Linked DNA regions of Ovis aries. The protein of the gene in region 1 binds, or shares a complex with, the protein of each later gene. Links are inferred from orthologs where the notes say so. Each region holds a gene or a part of one and is shown in the gene's direction. Other genes may lie near its edges.

What was found.
Region 2: EIF2B2 (region 1) and EIF2B3 share a complex: the UniProt entries of both Homo sapiens proteins name them as parts of the translation initiation factor 2B (eIF2B) complex. The link is inferred for Ovis aries from reciprocal best matches to the Homo sapiens genes EIF2B2 and EIF2B3.
Region 3: the proteins of EIF2B2 (region 1) and EIF2B5 are in contact, whole or in part, in a cryo-EM structure (PDB 6O81), measured with the Homo sapiens proteins. The link is inferred for Ovis aries from reciprocal best matches to the Homo sapiens genes EIF2B2 and EIF2B5. Residues at the interface, in NP_055054.1 of Homo sapiens: Ser12, Glu13, Glu16, Glu20, Lys23, Arg24, Asp283, Lys287, Phe288, Val289, Ala290, Pro291, Glu292, Glu293, Leu295, Pro296, Phe297, Thr298, Gly300, Asp301, Leu303, Glu304, Val306, Ser307, His309; in NP_003898.2 of Homo sapiens: Glu81, Thr84, Ala85, Thr115, Leu117, Lys186, Glu187, Ser188, Ser189, Ser191, His192, Pro193, Thr194, Leu245, Lys294, Glu295, Tyr296, Asp312, Arg315, Arg316, Trp317, Tyr319, Pro320, Ala325, Asn326, Asp329, Thr336, His337, His340, Asn341.
Region 4: the proteins of EIF2B2 (region 1) and EIF2B1 are in contact, whole or in part, in a cryo-EM structure (PDB 7F64), measured with the Homo sapiens proteins. The link is inferred for Ovis aries from reciprocal best matches to the Homo sapiens genes EIF2B2 and EIF2B1. Residues at the interface, in NP_055054.1 of Homo sapiens: Glu107, Ser108, Leu109, His110, Leu112, Leu113, Thr114, Ser115, Asn242, Phe278, Asn280, Glu281, Glu282, Ser334, Tyr337, Arg338; in NP_001405.1 of Homo sapiens: Leu71, Arg74, Phe75, Leu78, Arg96, Leu99, Phe100, Arg103, Lys110, Thr117, Phe118, Lys120, Ser232, Phe235, Leu283, Asp287, Leu288, Val290, Thr292, Ser294, Ala295, Asp298, Glu299, Leu300, Lys302, Leu303.

The regions. Positions count from the first base shown.
Region 1 is NC_056060.1:84,336,910-84,341,720, forward strand, and holds the start of EIF2B2 (translation initiation factor eIF-2B subunit beta), read left to right. Parts: upstream 1-1,502; 5' UTR 1,503-1,550; coding exon 1,551-1,713; intron 1,714-1,817; coding exon 1,818-1,938; intron 1,939-2,098; coding exon 2,099-2,247; intron 2,248-3,160; coding exon 3,161-3,324; intron 3,325-3,941; coding exon 3,942-4,037; intron 4,038-4,811. UniProt on the Homo sapiens protein: Acts as a component of the translation initiation factor 2B (eIF2B) complex, which catalyzes the exchange of GDP for GTP on eukaryotic initiation factor 2 (eIF2) gamma subunit.
Region 2 is NC_056054.1:19,637,340-19,642,268, reverse strand, and holds the start of EIF2B3 (translation initiation factor eIF-2B subunit gamma), read left to right. Parts: upstream 1-1,622; 5' UTR 1,623-1,995; intron 1,996-4,497; 5' UTR 4,498-4,506; coding exon 4,507-4,654; intron 4,655-4,929. UniProt on the Homo sapiens protein: Acts as a component of the translation initiation factor 2B (eIF2B) complex, which catalyzes the exchange of GDP for GTP on the eukaryotic initiation factor 2 (eIF2) complex gamma subunit.
Region 3 is NC_056054.1:203,792,833-203,796,774, reverse strand, and holds part of EIF2B5 (translation initiation factor eIF-2B subunit epsilon), read left to right. Parts: intron 1-109; coding exon 110-295; intron 296-386; coding exon 387-564; intron 565-650; coding exon 651-731; intron 732-1,007; coding exon 1,008-1,085; intron 1,086-1,620; coding exon 1,621-1,933; intron 1,934-2,842; coding exon 2,843-2,988; intron 2,989-3,198; coding exon 3,199-3,340; intron 3,341-3,462; coding exon 3,463-3,564; intron 3,565-3,881; coding exon 3,882-3,942. UniProt on the Homo sapiens protein: Acts as a component of the translation initiation factor 2B (eIF2B) complex, which catalyzes the exchange of GDP for GTP on eukaryotic initiation factor 2 (eIF2) gamma subunit.
Region 4 is NC_056070.1:52,100,898-52,104,838, forward strand, and holds the end of EIF2B1 (translation initiation factor eIF-2B subunit alpha), read left to right. Parts: intron 1-483; coding exon 484-648; 3' UTR 649-2,088; coding exon of another isoform or gene 2,089-2,265; 3' UTR 2,266-2,661; coding exon of another isoform or gene 2,662-2,957; 3' UTR 2,958-3,106; downstream 3,107-3,941. Other genes in the region: ATP-dependent RNA helicase DDX55, read right to left, coding at 2,089-2,265, 2,662-2,957, 3,627-3,795.

The DNA.
Region 1 (4,811 bases):
GCATCAGTTGATATGGTCATGTGGTTTTACTTTCTAGAATATTAACATAGTTTCTCAAATTGATTTTCAAATATTGCAACAGCTTTATCTTCCAGATTTAAATTATACTTGGTAATTATACATTAATCTTCTTATTTACTTTTGACTGTGCTGGGTCTTCATTGCTTCATGCAGGCCTTCTCTAGTCGTGGTGAGCAGGGGTTACTTGTGATGCACTGGTTCCGGCACATGGGCCTCAGTAGTTGCAGCACAGGGGCTCAGTAGTTGTGGTTCTCCTGCCCTAGAGGGCGCAGGCTTTGGTAGCTGCGGCACACCACTTAGTTGCTCTGTAGTATGCGGGATCCTCCTGGACCAGGGATTGAACCTGTGTCCTCTGCATTCATTGGGTGGTGGATTCCTAAGCACTGGGCCACCAGGGAAGTTCTTACATGAATCTTTTATATACTGATGAATTTGGTTTGCTAATAATTTGTTGCAGCTCTTTGCATCTGCATTCATGAGGGACACTGGTCTCTTATTTTCTTTTTTTTTTTTTTCATATTATCTTTGTCTGATTTGGGTACTGATATATTTTTCTGTAAGGCAATTGGTCTCTGGAGACCCGGGTTCGATCCCTAGGTTGGGAAGATCCACTGGAGAAGGAAATGGCAATCCACTCCAGTACTATTGCCGGGAAAATCCCATGGACAGAGGAATTTGGTAGGCTACAGTCCATGGGGTCCCAAAGAGTCGAACATGACTGAGCGGCTTCACTTCACTTTTCAACGTCTAGCACATCTCCTCAGAGATGAGGAGACCGAATATCCACCAATAAGAAGATTCAAAGTGGCAGTTAATATGGGAGCAAAGATGATGTCCTTCCATCTGTATGGACTAGAGGCTGGGGAGTAAAACAATACGACCGTTTAGAGTTTACTAGGTGTAGACACTGTGTATGAATTGTCTCAGCTAATGCATCTTTATGAGATAGGTCCTCTTATTCTAAAAAGAAAAAAAAAATGGTCCTTGGCATCAGGGAGCTCGGTCTGCTAGAGAGACAGGCGCAAACGAACCAGTATCATGCAATGTAACAGCATTATGATGGGGCGTCTGCCCTAGGGGTAGCGGACCCTGGGGCAGCACTCTGATGGTCACCGGAGCTGAGGGACGGCGAAGTAGGGCTGCAACTTCTCCAGCGTAGCCTCGGGAAGTGGTGGGGGCCTTTCACACTGGCTGTTTCCACAGTAACAGGACTAGCCATCCTCTTGTGACGTCAACCGTCAGGTCTTCAGCGATCGAGAAGCCGAGAAAAGACACTTGCAGCCTTCCAACCTCTGAGGCGCGGACGCTTGGCGGTAAACGCAACACATCGAGTTCCAAGAGTCTGATTGGCTCTGTCAGGTGAGGGGGAGGGGCGGGGGCGGGAGTTAGCAGCGAGGGGCGTGGCCCAGTCTTCTCCCAAGCGAGAGTTTTTTTCCTAGCAGAGCGGAAGCCGACCTTTCCTGCCCCGGAAGTGTAAGCTCGGAAGTCTGCCTGGTGTGGATTCCGCCGGCAAGGCGGCTTCTTTCGCGATGCCAGGGGCAGCCGCCAAGGGCTCGGAGCTGTCCGAGAGGATCGAGAGTTTCGTGGAGGCGCTGAAGCGGGGCGGCGGGCAGCGCAGCTCCGAGGACATGGCCCGGGAGACTCTGGGGCTGCTTCGCCGCATCATCACGGACCACCGCTGGAGTAATGCAGGTGAGGCAGGCCTCGCCCCTTTCTGATCCCGATCCCCGGGCGGAAAGTCGCCCAGGCCCCACGCTGCGCCCTTCTCGCGCTCACCTTTTCTCTTTGGGCGGTAGGGGAGCTGATGGAACTGATCCGCAGAGAAGGCCGGAGGATGACGGCCGCGCAACCCTCAGAGACCACCGTGGGCAACATGGTGCGGAGAGTGCTCAGGATCATCCGGGAGGAGTATGGCAGGTCAGGCCCACGTCCTGGACCGGGGCTTGGGCCCAGTGAAGCGTTTTGCACGGGCCCCTCTCTCTCCCTGCTTGGAGCCTTTGTTGGAGCTGAGCAGCTGTCGTTACTTAAACGACCACATCTCTTCCTCCAACTCCTTTGGGTCTTGTTGCCTTCGTAGACTCCATGGACGCAGCGACGAGAGCGATCAGCAGGAGTCTCTGCACAAACTCTTGACATCCGGGGGCCTGAGCGAGGATTTCCGTTCCCATTATGCTCAACTCCAGTCCAACATCATTGAGGCAATTAATGAGCTGCTGGTGGAACTGGGTGAGTCCTGATCCTTAGGTGGACAGGACAAGTTGCAGGCAGATGAGGGAACAGAAGACCTTGGAAGTTGTTCATAAGCAGAGGTGGACGATAACCAGTCTTCTGGTTCTCAGAGGTTTGCCCTCATCCGGATTAAGAATGATTGGAATAGGTGGCAAGACTAAAATAACCCTTTCTACATTTCCTTACAGACTGACCCCTTATCTACTGCAAATCCACTGTGGCAGAGACTGTTTGGGAAGAGCTTTTATTTTTAAGATGAACCTCTGAAAACCACAGTTGATAAACCCTTTTTCACTAAACTTCTTTAAATTTTACAGACACACACACATAGATACCCATATGCATACACACAAGCCACTTCTATCCCCCCTATCTTTGTGACCTAGGAGGCCAGATATTTATTGCCATCAGTGTTTCCGGGAAAGGAAGAAACTGGGTTTGTCTGTGTGCTGAGCTGCTTCTTCCAAATTCCTCCCCTGTTTTTCTTCTGTGTCCTCCCTGTCACGTGGAGGCGTTGTGGCCACCTTTTGGAGGAGGAATTCTTTTAGAGGGAAACTCTGTTTACCCTACTCTCAGCACTTTCAAATTTCCCAAATGGGGCATTTCTTGCCTAAATTCACTGTCTTCAAAGTCAGTTGTAAAGAACTAGTTTTGGGCGGGGTAGGGGTGAAGGGAGTAAGTTGATGAGTAGGGCAAGAGGGTAGGCTGAGAGCTTGGGAGATAGAAAACCCTGGAGGGAGGAGGCTTTTAAGGAAATAGGACATTTCACATTTAGTCCATTGACCATGTGTTACCAGGCTCTGCTAGGTGGGCATTGTACAAAACGGCACACATCCCTTTCTGTTCTCTCACAAGTCTGTATTGTAGCATGACTGTGTCATATTTTCCATGCGAAACTGGCTTCTTGCAGAAGGGACAACGGAGAACATCGCAGCCCAGGCTCTGGAGCACATCCACTCCAATGAGGTCATCATGACCATCGGCTTCTCTCGCACGGTGGAGGCATTCCTCAAAGAGGCTGCCCGGAAGAGGAAATTCCATGTCATCGTTGCAGAGTGTGCACCTTTCTGTCAGGTATGGGGACTGCTAGAGCTGCTAAGAAAATTTTTAAATGAGAGAATAATGCCATCTTTGAATTGATGCATTTTAAACATTGAGGAGATAGAGTAAAACATTTAAGAGAATTTCACGTTGTTGATCCTGTGAACATTCTTAAAATATTCATTTAAGGAAGTTGAGTGAACTACTTGGCCCAAGAAAAGATAAATATTAGTTCTTTCAGAAATCAGAATAGGGTAAATGACCTTGGGGATGACCGATGCTTGGTCTGACCCCACTCAGTCTTCAGGTAAATAATAGGTCTCCAGAAAGGAAATATGTAAGGATGCAAGGATGTTGTAAAATAATGAGCCAGGAGCTGTCCTGTGTGCTCTGCCCAGTTACACAAGCAAGTTGTATTTCCAGTTCTGTGCCTGTCCCAGCAGTGTTGGGGAGTAATAAACATTAATTAGCTTCCCCTGGGCTTCCTGCCGCTTCCCAGAGAACACCTACCAGATGAGTTAGTTGCCTGTTGGAAGTTGCACGTTGGATACAGCCAGTGTCACCCAGTCCCCCAGATCCAGTGATGTTTGAAAGCTCTTTCTCTCTCCCCCACTCTTCCTCTCAGCATCAGCCTTTCTCTCCACATGCAGGGTCATGAGATGGCAGTCAATTTGTCCAAAGCAGGTATTGAGACAACGGTCATGACTGATGCTGCCATTTTTGCTGTTATGTCAAGAGTCAACAAGGTGGGTATATTTGGGTTATATTATGTCAAATTTATGAAGATTATACGTTAAAATATTAATATCTGCCCCCCTCCCTGGCCCCAATATCTATAAGAGGAGAGGAGAGTTTCTAGTACCTTTTGAAAACACATACATGGACCTTTTAAATCTCTTATTCTATTAATATTGATCCCCCCTGTTTATTCCTCCCTTGGGTGCTACTGCTGCTAAGTTGCTTCAGTCGTGTCCGACTCTGTGTGACCCCATAGACAGCAGCCCACCAGGCTTCCTTGTCCCTGGGATTCTCCAGGCAAGAATACTGGAATGGGTTGTCATTTCCTTCTCCAATGCATGAAAGTGAAAAGTGAAAGTGAAGTCGCTCAGTCCTGTCCGACTCTTAGCGACCCCCTGGACTGCAGCCTACCAGGCTCCTCCGTCCATGGGATTCTCCAGGCAAGAGTACTGGAGTGGGTTGTCATTTCCTTCTCTGTCCTCCCTTGGAGGCACCTCATTTTGGTTAAAGGACTGAAAGGAATGAAATGGGACTAAGCTAATCTTGTCAGCATGTTAGGGATCTGATGGAGAGCTGCCCACTTCTGCTCAGAGAGCTTGGTAGTGGTGGATGGTAGAAGAAAGGCTTCCCATTTCTCAGGAGGTGTGGAAGATAGATTTCCATGGAAGACAGGGCTAAGAGCAGTAAACACTGCAGTTTTCTGTCCTGTACTGTGTTCATTTTTCCTTTGGGAATCCACTTTTATGCTAGAACTTGTGGTCTGAACCTAGAATCCCTTCCCC
Region 2 (4,929 bases), on another chromosome or scaffold:
ACGGGTTTGATCCCTGGCTGGGGAAGATGCCATGTGGCACTGAGCAGCTAAGCCTGTGTGCCACAACTGCTACAGCCCTCGTGCCTCAGAGCCTGTGCTCTGCAACAAGAGAAGCCACGGCACCGAGAAGCCTGTGCACGACAAGGAAGAGTAGCCCCACTCACCCAACCAGAGAAAGCCCTTGCACAGCAGCGGAGATCCAATGCAGCCAAAAATAAAACAGATACATATTTTTAAATTAAAGAAATATTATTAAAAAGAGATGGATAGAAAAAGAGGGAACCTTCCAAAAGAGAGAACGACCATTCAATGTTATTGAATTGTTATTCAATGTAGTTTATAGAATCCCCTGGTGGTCCAGTGGTTAGGACTCCATGCTTTCACTGCCAAGGCTTGGGTTCAATTTCTGGTTGAGGAACTAAGATTGCTTGAGCCCAGCAGCATGGCCCAAAAAACGGAAACCACACAACCCCTACCCCAAACCAGATAATGCAGCTTAACAATCTGCCTTAAAAATGTACTGCTTAAAACAAAACAAACAAAAAAGAATTATTTTATTGTTATCTCACAATTGTTGGAGTCTAGACTCAGATGTTTGGGTTTTCTCATCCGGAGGTTGCAGCTTCTTAACTGGTCTCTGGAAGCAGAGATTCTATTATCAAAACAGCAACCACAGTGATCCTCTAAAAGCGTGTTATTTCGCTGCTCCTCTGCACAAGTCAAGGTCCTCACAATGCCTACAAGACCCACAGGATCTGAATTCTCCACCTTCTCCCCCATTGCCTCTCCGGCTTACTCTGCCGTCATCCACCCTCCCCCAGTTCACTTTTCTTCAGCTCTATTGGCTTCTTTGTTGTTCTCCGAAGTTGCCTTCTCTCTCCAAGGCCTTTGCACTTGCTGGCTAGTCTTCTTGGAAGGCTCTTACCCAAGATATTCATTTGACTCACTCTCTCCAAGCCACTGTTCAGTATCACCATCACAGTGCTGCTAAGTCGCTTCAGTTGTGTCTGATTCTGGGCAACTTTATGCACTGTAGACCGCCAGGCTCCTCTGTCCATGGGGTTTTCCAGACAAGGATACTGGAGTGGTTTGCTATGCCTCCTCCAGGGGATTTTCCCCACCATTACAGTGAGATCTTCCTGAATCCCACACTCCCGACCAACTTTTGATGGCTAAAGGTGGATGTTTTCCATACCATAATAATCTGGTTCAGAAAGCCAACGTTGAGTGCCACATTAGACCTCACTGGACATAGAAAACCGTGGCAATCCTTGGTGATTTCTCCACTGGTCAGCCCTAGACCGCAGCTCCCAATGAGCTGTCCTTCCGCAGAGTGGTAGTAGGGACCAGGTCCTAGGAGAATTCTCCTAGAAGGAGAATTGCCTGAAGGAAGAGACTGTGACCAGTTACCCTGCAACCTGAGGGACGCTCAGTGGGCGTTGGTAATTTGTGAATGAATGAAAAGGCTCGGGCGGCCCCGCCTCCGCTACTCCTCCCCTCCTCCCCGCGGCATCCTTCTCGGCCGTCATCTATTATTCGGTGCTCATTTTCTTCTCTGAGGGCCTGCCCAGCGCGTCCCATCGATCTGCCCGGCCATCGTGCGCCTGCGTCTTTTGGCTGTCAGTCGGCGGCGGCGTGGGGAGCGCGGGGAGCGCTGGGAACCGTGGCGGCGCGCGGGGACCTGAGGTAAAGCTGAGGCTTCTGCGCTGCCAGGCCGCGCACGAGCTGGCTGGCGGGGGGGAGCCGCGCGGTGGAGGCCGCCGAACCTCACTTCACCGGAGGGAGGCGGGCTCCACAAGCCTGGTAGAGGAGGGCCCGAGGGGGTTGCAGGGGTGCAGAGCCCGAGTCGCCAGCTCCAGTGCCTCCCGGACCTGGCCGCGGAGCCAAGTGGCCGAACTAAAAGGAAGCTCGGGGAGCATCCGAGCCAGCCACCTTGTGCAAAAGTTGAGGAAATTGAGTTTCAGGGAGAGGAGGATCTGCTGGAAGTCACAGCGAGTGAGCACCGAACGCCCTGCGCACAGTTCTTGATCCTTTCCACTTAAAAGTCCTTCGTTCTTTTATTCTGTTTCTGATTATTTTAGGTGCAAGATACAAATACAAAGAGCAATACAATAAAGTCTGGCTGAGAGATCAGTTGTGATTCGGGGTTTTTGTCCATTTACAAAGGGAGAAGGCAGTGAGGGCTGTATCGGAGACAGGTTGAAGATGCCATGAACCACCTCTCTAAAGCCTGAGTGGCTAGAGAGTTTTTGCCTTGAGTCCCATCGCTCAGAGTCGTGGCAGTGGCATTGAGATATTTGTCAGGCTGCCTGCGATCAGTTATGTTCATGATTATCACCCAGAGCCTCACTGAGAGCAGGAACCTCAGATCCTAGTGACCTGGGTTCTCATGTCCCTTCTGCACATGTTTGAGCTTGATGCTTACTCTGGGTTGTTGTGAGGTTCACAGATGCTCATTCCACGAGTACTGACTGAGTGCCTGGCATCTGACAGGAATTATGTCAGGTACTAGGGATACAACGATGACAGTCAAGGAACTCACAGGAAATAGACATTTAAACAGGCAGATGGACTTCGCTGGCAGTACAGTGGTTGAGACTCCACACTTCCAATGCAGGGCGGTGGGTTCCATCCCCGGGGGTGGGTTGGGGGAGAGGGGAGTAAGATCGCACATGCCACACTTGTGGCAGCCAAGAAATAATAAAAATTAAAATAAATGGGCAGTGAATCCTGAAAGGTAGAGATAATCTGTATATAGTAGAATGGAAGCCTTTAAGGAGAAAAGAGTTACTTCTCTAAGAGGGTGGGAAGGGATAAGAATGTCTTTATACACAAGGTGATTCTTCAACTGAGTCTTTAAAGTTTAATTGGTGATTACATACTGGACACAGGAGAAAGGCAACTAAGAATAGTGATACAGGGGCCAGAATTATGCAACGGCATGGTTCAGCTGGCACAGAAAGTTTCCATGACCTGTCTATTACCAAAAACTTATATAATGCTTGTCATTGTTTTGTGTGCTTTACTTGGGTTAACTTATTTAACATTTATAACAACTCTGTGAAGTAGAAATTATCCCCCCCGCCTTAGAAAACTAAGAAAATGGAGGCTTGGGAAAGGTATGTAGCTTGCCTTGGATCATACAGCTAATTCATGGTAGAGCTAGAATTAAAATCCAGGCAGTCTGGTTAAAAGGCCTGTGAACTTAACCACCAGGCTCTTTTCTAGACACTGAGGATGCTGAGTTTTAAATGTCAGGCCCCTGGTTACCTCACCTGTAAGTGACAGAACCAGAACTCAAACTCAGGTCTTTTAACTCTTAAGGATCCAGTGTTAATACTTTTCATAGTAACATCAGATGTTATGAGATTTATATAATGGCAGATTGAAGTTAAATACCAATCTGAGGCAGTGCCTGCTGGAATTGAAAGTACCATATCTTTACTTTGTGGATGTTGTGTAAGAGCCTTTACTTTGTGCTGGGGTGTATGGGGTGTGTGTGTGTTGCAGTTTAGATACTAATGTGAGGAGCCCAGGACTGATCAAAATAATGATAAAGGAGCAACATTATTCACCAGTTTGGTGTTAAATACATTTTTGTTTCCGGAGCATTGAATTTCACTTTGTTTTTAAAAGGTTACATCATTTGTTGTAAGTCAAATAGTACTTTTATTTTAAATCAATAAGGATTTGTGAGCTTTTAATGTGCCTCTCTTCTGTTGTAGCAGCTGTAAAGAGATTTTTTTTGAATGTCAAATAATTTCATTTATCACCTTGAGTCTGAAAAAAAAAATTAACTTGGTTTGTTTCTGTAATTGGGCTCTGCAAACCTAGGTTAAGATACAAGCCTACATTTGAGTTTATAATGTTATATTTCAAGTTGGGGGTAATGAAAAAATGGGAGCAGGTGGCTGAATTAACAGAAGCATCTTAAGTCATTTCATACTTTTCAGAGATCTAATGTGCTTGTCTCTGTGCAGTTAATTCTAGTCAGAAGTTTAAAATTTTTTTCAGGGAATACAAACTCACATATCAGAAACCAACTTGATAAACTCTTACTCCTTTAAGAGTCAGCTCAAGCATTACTTTCCTATAAAACCTTCCCTGCCTTTTCTAGGAAGACTTAGGTGTTACTGTCACTGTATATGGCTACTGCACCTTAGATATATCCCTGTCATGGCATTAATGATGTTGTATTGTAATTTACTGCATTTGTCTTCACTTGATTGTCAACAACTCAAGAGCAAGAGCCAGATTTTTGTTTTATTCATTTCCCGCCTCTAGCCCAGGCTGGAAATCAGAGTATGTATCAGTAAGAGAATAGGATAAATGTGATGTTTATACTGTGGCTAAGTAGTCTTTCTTATTCTGGTTATTGGAGTTGGAAATGACATGTTTGTCATAAGTGAATATCAATAACCTAAATAAAAGTAAGATTAATACTGTGTGTGCATTGATTTTATTACATTTTTCTCTTGGTTTTCTCTGTGATTACAGTTTTTAAAAATGGAATTTCAAGCAGTTGTAATGGCAGTTGGAGGGGGATCGCGAATGACAGACCTGACTTCCAGTATTCCCAAACCTCTGCTTCCAGTCGGCAACAAACCTTTAATTTGGTACCCACTGAACCTGCTTGAGCGTGTTGGATTTGAAGGTGAGTTATGGCAATGAGATATACTCACAAAACTTTTAGGGTTCTTCATCCCAGTAATTTGTCAGCTTTATGAGGGTGAGAGAAATGAATGAAAGAAGACTAGGACTCAATGTTGGCTGGAGACGGGCCTCTTTAAATTAGAAACTTTGGAGTACTCTATTGCTGTGCGAAAAAGGTTGAGAAGAGAGTGCTAAGTGTTTCTTTTTTAGAGCTGGTCTCCACAGTGATCCAAGATAACCCTGGAAGGATATCAGAACATAATATGAGAACGACCA
Region 3 (3,942 bases), on another chromosome or scaffold:
AAAAAATCATAGCAAAGGAGTGTGAATGTTGAATGGTGGGGGAATAGAGAAGCTCTGCATGATTTTTATGTTTGGTTTACTCATTCCCCTCACCCCTCCCTTCCCTTAGGAAATCCAAGTGGTGCCGCCCAACATCCCTCAATGTGGTTCGAATAATTACATCAGAGCTGTATAGATCACTGGGGGATGTTCTCCGTGATGTTGATGCTAAAGCCTTGGTGCGCTCTGACTTCCTTCTGGTGTATGGGGATGTCATCTCAAACATCAATATTACCAGAGCCCTGGAAGAACACAGGTCAGGATGGGAAAACAGTAGAGGTAGGGTTTGGGACCAACAGAGCCCTAGGACTGCTTTTTTACAGCTATCTCCTTCCTGTCCTTTATAGGTTAAGGAGGAAGCTAGAAAAAAATGTGTCTGTGATGACGATGATCTTCAAGGAGTCATCCCCCAGCCACCCAACTCGTTGTCATGAGGACAACGTGGTAGTGGCCGTGGATAGTGCCACAAATCAGGTGCTCCATTTCCAGAAGACCCAAGGCCTCCGACGTTTTTCTTTCCCTCTGGTATGTGTTTATCTGGGGTCCTTGAAGTGGGAAGGTGACAGGCTTCCGCAGGAGAGATGAGTTAAGTCCTTGTAACTTCTCCACAGAGCTTGTTCCAGGGCAGTGGAGATGGAGTGGAGATTCGTTATGACTTACTTGATTGTCACATCAGCATCTGCTCTCCTCAGGTGAGCTCCTCAGGTCAAAGGCTGCATATCCACCGAGGAAAACTCTGAGGGTGTATTACCACCCCCTTAAGTGACAAGGTATATTTTTTCTCCCCCTCTCTTATCTGTTCTATAGCAAGGAGGTGTTGTCGTCTTGACCCCAGTAGTTCATTGGCTGACTTTTTTGGGATTCTTGCCCATGTCCTGCTGTCACAGTGTCTGACATGTCTCTGGGAGGCTATGTTTGCTTCCAGAGAATAGTACTTAACATCATCCCCCTCTGACTTCTCCACACAGGTGGCTCAACTATTTACAGACAACTTCGACTACCAAACACGAGATGACTTTGTGCGAGGCCTGTTAGTGAATGAGGAGGTAATAAAAGGCTCCCAGTGCCTCTTTAGAAGAGGGCTGTAATATTATCTCACGCTGATAACTTTTGGTTTCCCACCCCTACCCCTCCAACCCCGCCTTTTTCCCTCTCTTTCTTCATTTGCTTTTTTATTTTAACCAACTTCAGGGACAGTAGACCCTGCTGACACACAGAAGATTCATTTTTCATTTTTGTCAGATCCCCAATACCATCTGACCACCCGTGACATGTTAAAAAATCTCAAAATCAACAAATCGATTGCTAAAAACGTGACTATCCACCATTACACGTAATGTGAAATTTTGTTTTCCCTTGGGTAGGTGGGGAGACTTTTGGTCCCGTCTTATATTTTATTGAGCTGTAGGAGGAAGGAAAATAGCTGGAGGTGAGGGGGGAGCAGTACAGAAAAAAGTCTCAGGCCACTTGGCTATGACATTGAGAAGCAGTAGGGAATTTAAGGAAGTTAGAAGAGAATTATACTGGGGGATGTTCTTTCTCTCTTGCTTGCTTGGGTGACCTTTTTTTCTCCTCATTTAGATCTTAGGAAACCAGATCCACATGCATGTGACAACTAAGGAATATGGTGCCCGGGTCTCCAACCTACACATGTATGCTGCTGTCTGCGCAGATGTCATCCGCCGATGGGTCTACCCTCTCACCCCAGAGGCTAACTTCACTGACAGCACAACCCAGAGCTGCACTCACTCCCGACATAACATCTACCGAGGGCCTGAGGTCAGCCTGGGCCATGGCAGCATCCTGGAGGAAAACGTGCTCTTAGGTTCTGGCACTGTCATTGGCAGCAATTGCTCCATCACTAACAGTGTCATTGGCCCTGGCTGTCACATTGGTGAGTATAGGTAGGGAGGTCAAGCTGGCCATCCTAGGAGCAGGAACTTGGGGGAACCCCATGAGTTCAGAAAAGGATACAGAGGGATAGTCCCTGAGAATAAGGAACTAGAGTGGCTGCCTTAATAAAGGAAGGAACAGGGATGTAAAAACAGTGATACTTTAAATTTGTGGTCTGTGAGCCTATTATTGGGTGACTCTTCGCATTCCAGGGTACCCTGTATTCACATTCAGGACCAACTGGATAATTAACATGCAATAACACCTGTTCAGTACATAGCAGTTTACAAAGGGGTTCTGTGTACTTTATTTCATTTAATCCTCATAAAAACCTTGTGAGGTATTATTTATAGATAAGTTTTATAGATAATCAAAAAGGCTAAAAGTGGTTGTCCCTCCAAGGTCATGGCTCATAAGAGGCAATGCAGGTACTTGATTCTGATTATAAGTTTAGGGTTCTTTATACTCTTTAATAACTCACTTTGGTTATAAGAAAGTGATGCTTCTCATGAAACTGCCCCATTAAGAGAACAATAAGATTCTGACTTTAAAATGTACCAAAACAAAAGCGGTAGAATAATTTGGTTCTACTTTTAGACAGGAATGTGATTCTAATAAGTTTCTTGAAAGAGATCTCCAGAAATCTTAAAGGTTCTCAGGTTCTTAAGTTCAGTATATAGTCAAATTGCTGTAAAACTGGTGGAGGGTAGTCAGGCTGGGCAATGTTCTGGTCTCTGGCCTGAGCTTAGAGAGGAAGAGGGGATTTATGGTAATTTGGGGATGGAGTGGTAGAGCTGGATGGGAGCTCTGCTGGTGTCAGTCAGCCCCATTCTCCACAAATGGTCTGAAAAGTGGCCTGGTCTGGAATTGGAGCCATGGGTGACCAGGAGTCTTTCCTGTCCTGAGCCAGGTGATAATGTGGTGCTGGACCAGGCCTTCCTGTGGCAGGGGGTCCGAGTTGCTGCTGGAGCACAGATTCATCAGTCTCTGCTCTGTGACAATGCTGAGGTCAAGGAAAATGTTACACTGAAGCCTCACTGTGTCCTTACTTCCCAGGTAAGACCTGCTCCACATGGCACAGCTGAGTGGTGGTTATGCTGAGCCAGAAAGTGCCTTATGTCCACCAAATCCAGCCTCAATTGAAATTCCCAATCCAGTGTTTTCATTTGCTTTCTACTTGACTTAGTAAAGTCACTTTCCTTTGCAGGGAGTACTTTTCCCACACATTAATGGATTTATGCCACCCACTCCTTTTTTCTCCTCCAGGTGGTAGTAGGCCCAGATATCATGCTGCCTGAGGGCTCGGTGATCTCTTTGCACCCTCCAGATGCAGAGGATGATGATGATGATGGTCAGTTCAGTGATGATTCTGGGGCTGACCAAGAAAAGGAGAAAGTGAAGCTGAAAGGTGTGAAACTCAGCAGGTGTGGGGCATCTGTGTGTCTCTCTGCCCCATAGAAATACCAGTGTTTCCTCCTAAGGGGTTGGTGCTTCTCCTGGGCCCTTGCTAAAGATCAGTGTCTTTTCCAGGTTACAATCCAGCAGAAGTCGGAGTTGCAGGCCAGGGCTACCTCTGGAAAGCTGCAGACATGAACATGGAGGAAGAGGAGGAACTACGGCAGAATCTATGGGGTAAGCTAGGCCTCATTCCTGCCACCCACCATCTAAATCAGGTTATTTTGAGGGAGTTTGAACACTTCAGAATCATACTGGCAGTGGTTTAGTCCCTAAGTTATATCTGACTGTTATGGCCCAGTGGACTGTAGCCTGCCAGGCTTCTCTATCCATAGGATTCTGCAGGCAAAAATACTGGAGTGAGTTGCCATTTTCTTCAGCAGGGGATCAGAATCAGACTGCTTGTTCATTAATTTATTCATGCAGACAGAGCAGATATATTGCTGTCAGTGGCTCTTCCGTTTTCTTTTTTCTCACCCCTTCTGGATTCTCAGGACTCAGAATCAACATGGAAGAAGAGAGTGAAACTGAAAGTGAGCAAAGTATGGATTCTGA
Region 4 (3,941 bases), on another chromosome or scaffold:
GAAAGTAGGTAGGTAATAGTCTAAAGTTTTGGGTCAAAAAAATAAATAAAGTTTTGGGTCAGCTCTCTGGGCTCACCTGCCATCTCCATCACCTATTAACCATGTGATCTTAGGCAGGTCCTTTCACTGTAAGGTTTATGAACTTCAGTTGTCTGTACAGGGGTTGTGATGCTTCAGAGATAATCCATGGAATTTAGCACAGCACCTAGCATTTAGCTTTCTATAAATGCTCTAACAGTTGTCTTCAGAGGTCTGGAGGGGTTACTCCAGCACACTCACGGGACACATGGCTTAAGGCTTTCTCTAATGACCTGGCTGACCCAAGCCACACTCAGTCCCCTGGCCAGTGTGCAACACAGTTGGCCTCCCCGTTTCCAGCGGGCACTTTCAGGCAGGAGCACCTCAGTTGCTCAGGCCAAGGCCTCACCAGTTCAGAGCCCTCAATCTGTGGGGCAGACTAACGTTGGCTTCCTGTCTCCTCAGTACAAGGCGGATACTCTGAAGTCTGTACAGACTGGACAGGACCTCAGAGAGGAGCACCCGTGGGTCGACTACACCTCCCCTTCCTTAATCACGCTGCTGTTTACAGACCTGGGGGTGCTGACGCCCTCGGCCGTCAGTGACGAACTCATCAAGCTCTACCTGTAAACACCGGGTCCTTTCCTGCTGCTGGACGTCGGATATGGGGAGTAGTCTCTTGGCCCCTCAGTGAGCCAGGCCAAAACTGAATAGTTTTTTCTGAAGTTTTATGGACTAAGGACTTAAAATCCTAACTCTTTGGAAATTTTTTATTCATTTCAGTCCCATCTAAAATGCATTCATGGTTCCTCTAAAGCCCAACCTAAATTGTGCTCTTATGGTTTCCATATATTTCCAGACACTTTCATTCATGTCCAGTTTCCAGGAATATAAGATTATTGGCTCTTTGACTGATGGATGAAGATGTGCCCACTCTCCCTCCCTTCACCTTCCGCACATTCTAGACTGATTTGCCAAAAGCATCCATGAAAGACAAGCAGGCCCGAGAGGGCAGCGGTCCAAACTACAGCCAGGTGCCCTTCCAGTAACCAGCAGCTGCCCAGGACCAGGCTCCATGCAGTGCTGGATGAAAAAGGCAGGCAACACTCAGGCTCCCAGCGGTGAAGACAAGCTGAGGGCTGTCATCTCCACAAAAGAATCAAGGCAAAGAGAGTGGATACTATTGCAAGAACCCAAGAACAGGTATTAATGGCCTCTTTGGCCGGAGTATCCTGCATGGCTCATCAGTTATGAAGACGCCTTCCAGAATATTTGCAAACTTAAAATTCTATATCTGGAAAAGATGTGACTTGAAACATATTTGGGTCCTGAACAGCTTTTTAAAATTGTTCTTGGGAACAAACTCAGCATCTTTTCAAATAAATTACATGGAAGATTTTGATATGGCGTTGCACTGCACTTCAAGCTGACCCCGGCCCAGCCAGAGGGCTCTGACACTAGATGTACCGTCCATCTTGGTAAAGACACTAGGCAGCCACCTTCACGTACTTAAGGCACAGTCAATTAGAACTACAGTTTATTCAATAGGAGGTGTAATCATTTTCTTTCCCAGAATGACTTGCTGCTGCTTTTTCACATACTCACCAATAAAATGGTACTACGGGCTTTGTGGGTGTTCAGTGCAATATATCAAACAGAGAACTGAGGGTCCAGAGGTAAAGACACCCAGGGAAAGGAGATAAGGAGCTGGGAAACACTGAGGAACTTTTAAAAGCTCTTAAATCAAATCTACTTCAGTAGCTTTATATTAAATAAGTTTTAATAAGTATAAAATGAGCTCTTTAAGTAACCCATCAAAATAAATATTGACATCTATTATTTACAGTTATGTAAATTTACGTTTTCTTCTCTTAGACTTCAAGGCTGGTATGTTTTTAGTGAAATGCTCACGAGCACGAAACCCCTCACATCTGCCGTTTCTGCAACAGCAGCTCCCTGACAGCTGCTGAAAGTTCTGATGTTCCACAGAAGGAAGCTCGAGCTGTCTGCCGAGTGGGGGCCGGCTCCCCGCATTCCCCACTCCTGTGCGTTTCACCTGAGGGGTGGGAATCAGCAATCATCTTCCACATCTGAGATCTGCAAATCTGCTTTGTTCGTTGACCTTTTGCCACTTGTCAACAGCCCCTTCTCAAATTCCTCTTCAGTAATTTTGCCTTTCTTTAACTTTTTCAAGAGCCTTGTGTCATTCAGAAGTTCCTCCATGTCTTCATCCTCCACATCAGAACCCTGAGTGCACAAGAGACCAACAAGCTACTGAATTTCTCAGCAACAGTGTTCTAAGTGAAACCAGCAAAATTTGGGGGGTTTTTTGGCCGCTGTAGGAGGCTTGTGGAATTCTAGTTCCCCAACCAGAGACTGAACCTGGGCGCCTCAGCCGTGAAAGCGCAGAGTCCTAACCACTGGACCGCCAGAGAAGCCCCAAACCAGCACTTTTTAATCAGTCGGGAACTACGTGCTCTTAGATCAGCTTTCACAAACAGCATGTTCCCCAACCCAAGCCACCAAGAGAGAACGAAAATCTGGGAGTCCTATGCAGTTCCTACTAAAAGGCACAATATACTACACTTCCGTGAGATTTGTTCAGAATTCTAAGTATTTAATTTTAAAAATTGCCATCTTTACCTCTTCCCTTCTCCTTTTTTCATTCAGTTTTTTCTTCTTTTCCTTTTTGGCCTTCTGCTTTGACCAAGCTTTATTTTTTATGAATTTTCTTCCGCCGTCATTTTCTGTTTTCTCTTTTCTCTGCTGCTCCAATAATTGCTTCTGCCTCTGCTTTTCTCTGATTTTGTCTTTAAATGGGATGGTATCTGTGTTGACATCCACAGGCACGAAATCTGGAAACTGCTTTCCTCTCAACTCTGGCATTTTGGGCATCCTCAGCAGGGCAAAACCTCGAGCAAGACTAGCAAAATCAAGATCTGATTAAACCAAAACATCAAGAGTTAGCACACCCAAAACAGGACTGTAAGCATCAACCAATAGAATATTCACAGCAATGTAATTTTTTTCTGTGTGATCTGATGGACTCATTTTAATTAGAATTAAAATAATTACATTTTTACTAAAAGAATACTCACAGCCAGTACCTAGTCAAACCCAAGGAAGACTTATTTTTATTTTTGGGGAGGCTATGCCACACAGCATGCAGGATCTTAGTTCCCTGACCAGGGATCGAACCCTTAATCCCTGCAATGGAAGCTCAGAGTCCAGGCAAGGCAAGTCCCAGAAAGACTTTCTTTTAAGTGCTTGGAAAACATTAACCCTGACATGGACCTAAGACAAAGCAGTTTCATATTTGTGCTCAACACAGGTGCTCAGCTGCTAAGTGGTGTCCAACTCTGTGACTCTATGGACTGTAGCCTACCAGGCTCCTCTGTCCATGTGATTCCCTAGGCAAGAATACTGGAGTAGGTTGTGATTTCCTCATCCAGGGGATGCTCCCAACCCAGGGATCCAACCCATGTCTCTTATGTCTCCAGCATTGGCAGGCAGGTTCTTTACCACCAGCGCCACCTGGAAAGCCCTTCATATTTGTAATACCTGTAAAAACCGTCAAATGTTTCAGATGGTGAGCAAATCAAACTTACCCTTTAATCTGAAGATGAGGTTGCACTCATGCTTGGCGTATGCCTGAACGTATGACACAAAAGCTTTCATGCCCTTCTCAAACACGGCTCTGTCGGCCAGGGCCATGGCCTTGAGCTTTGGAAGGAGGTCGGCTGTGTTCTTCTGGAGTTTCATCTCCTGCAGGGGGCACTGCACAGGGACCACATCGTCACTTCTGGCTGGGAACACCTCCCGCCCAAGGCTACCCCATCAGAGCCAGTGCCAGTAAAATCAAAGGCAAAACCACTCATTTTAATCTTATCCAGTGGAGGTTTTGAAGCCCAGATCCAAACCAA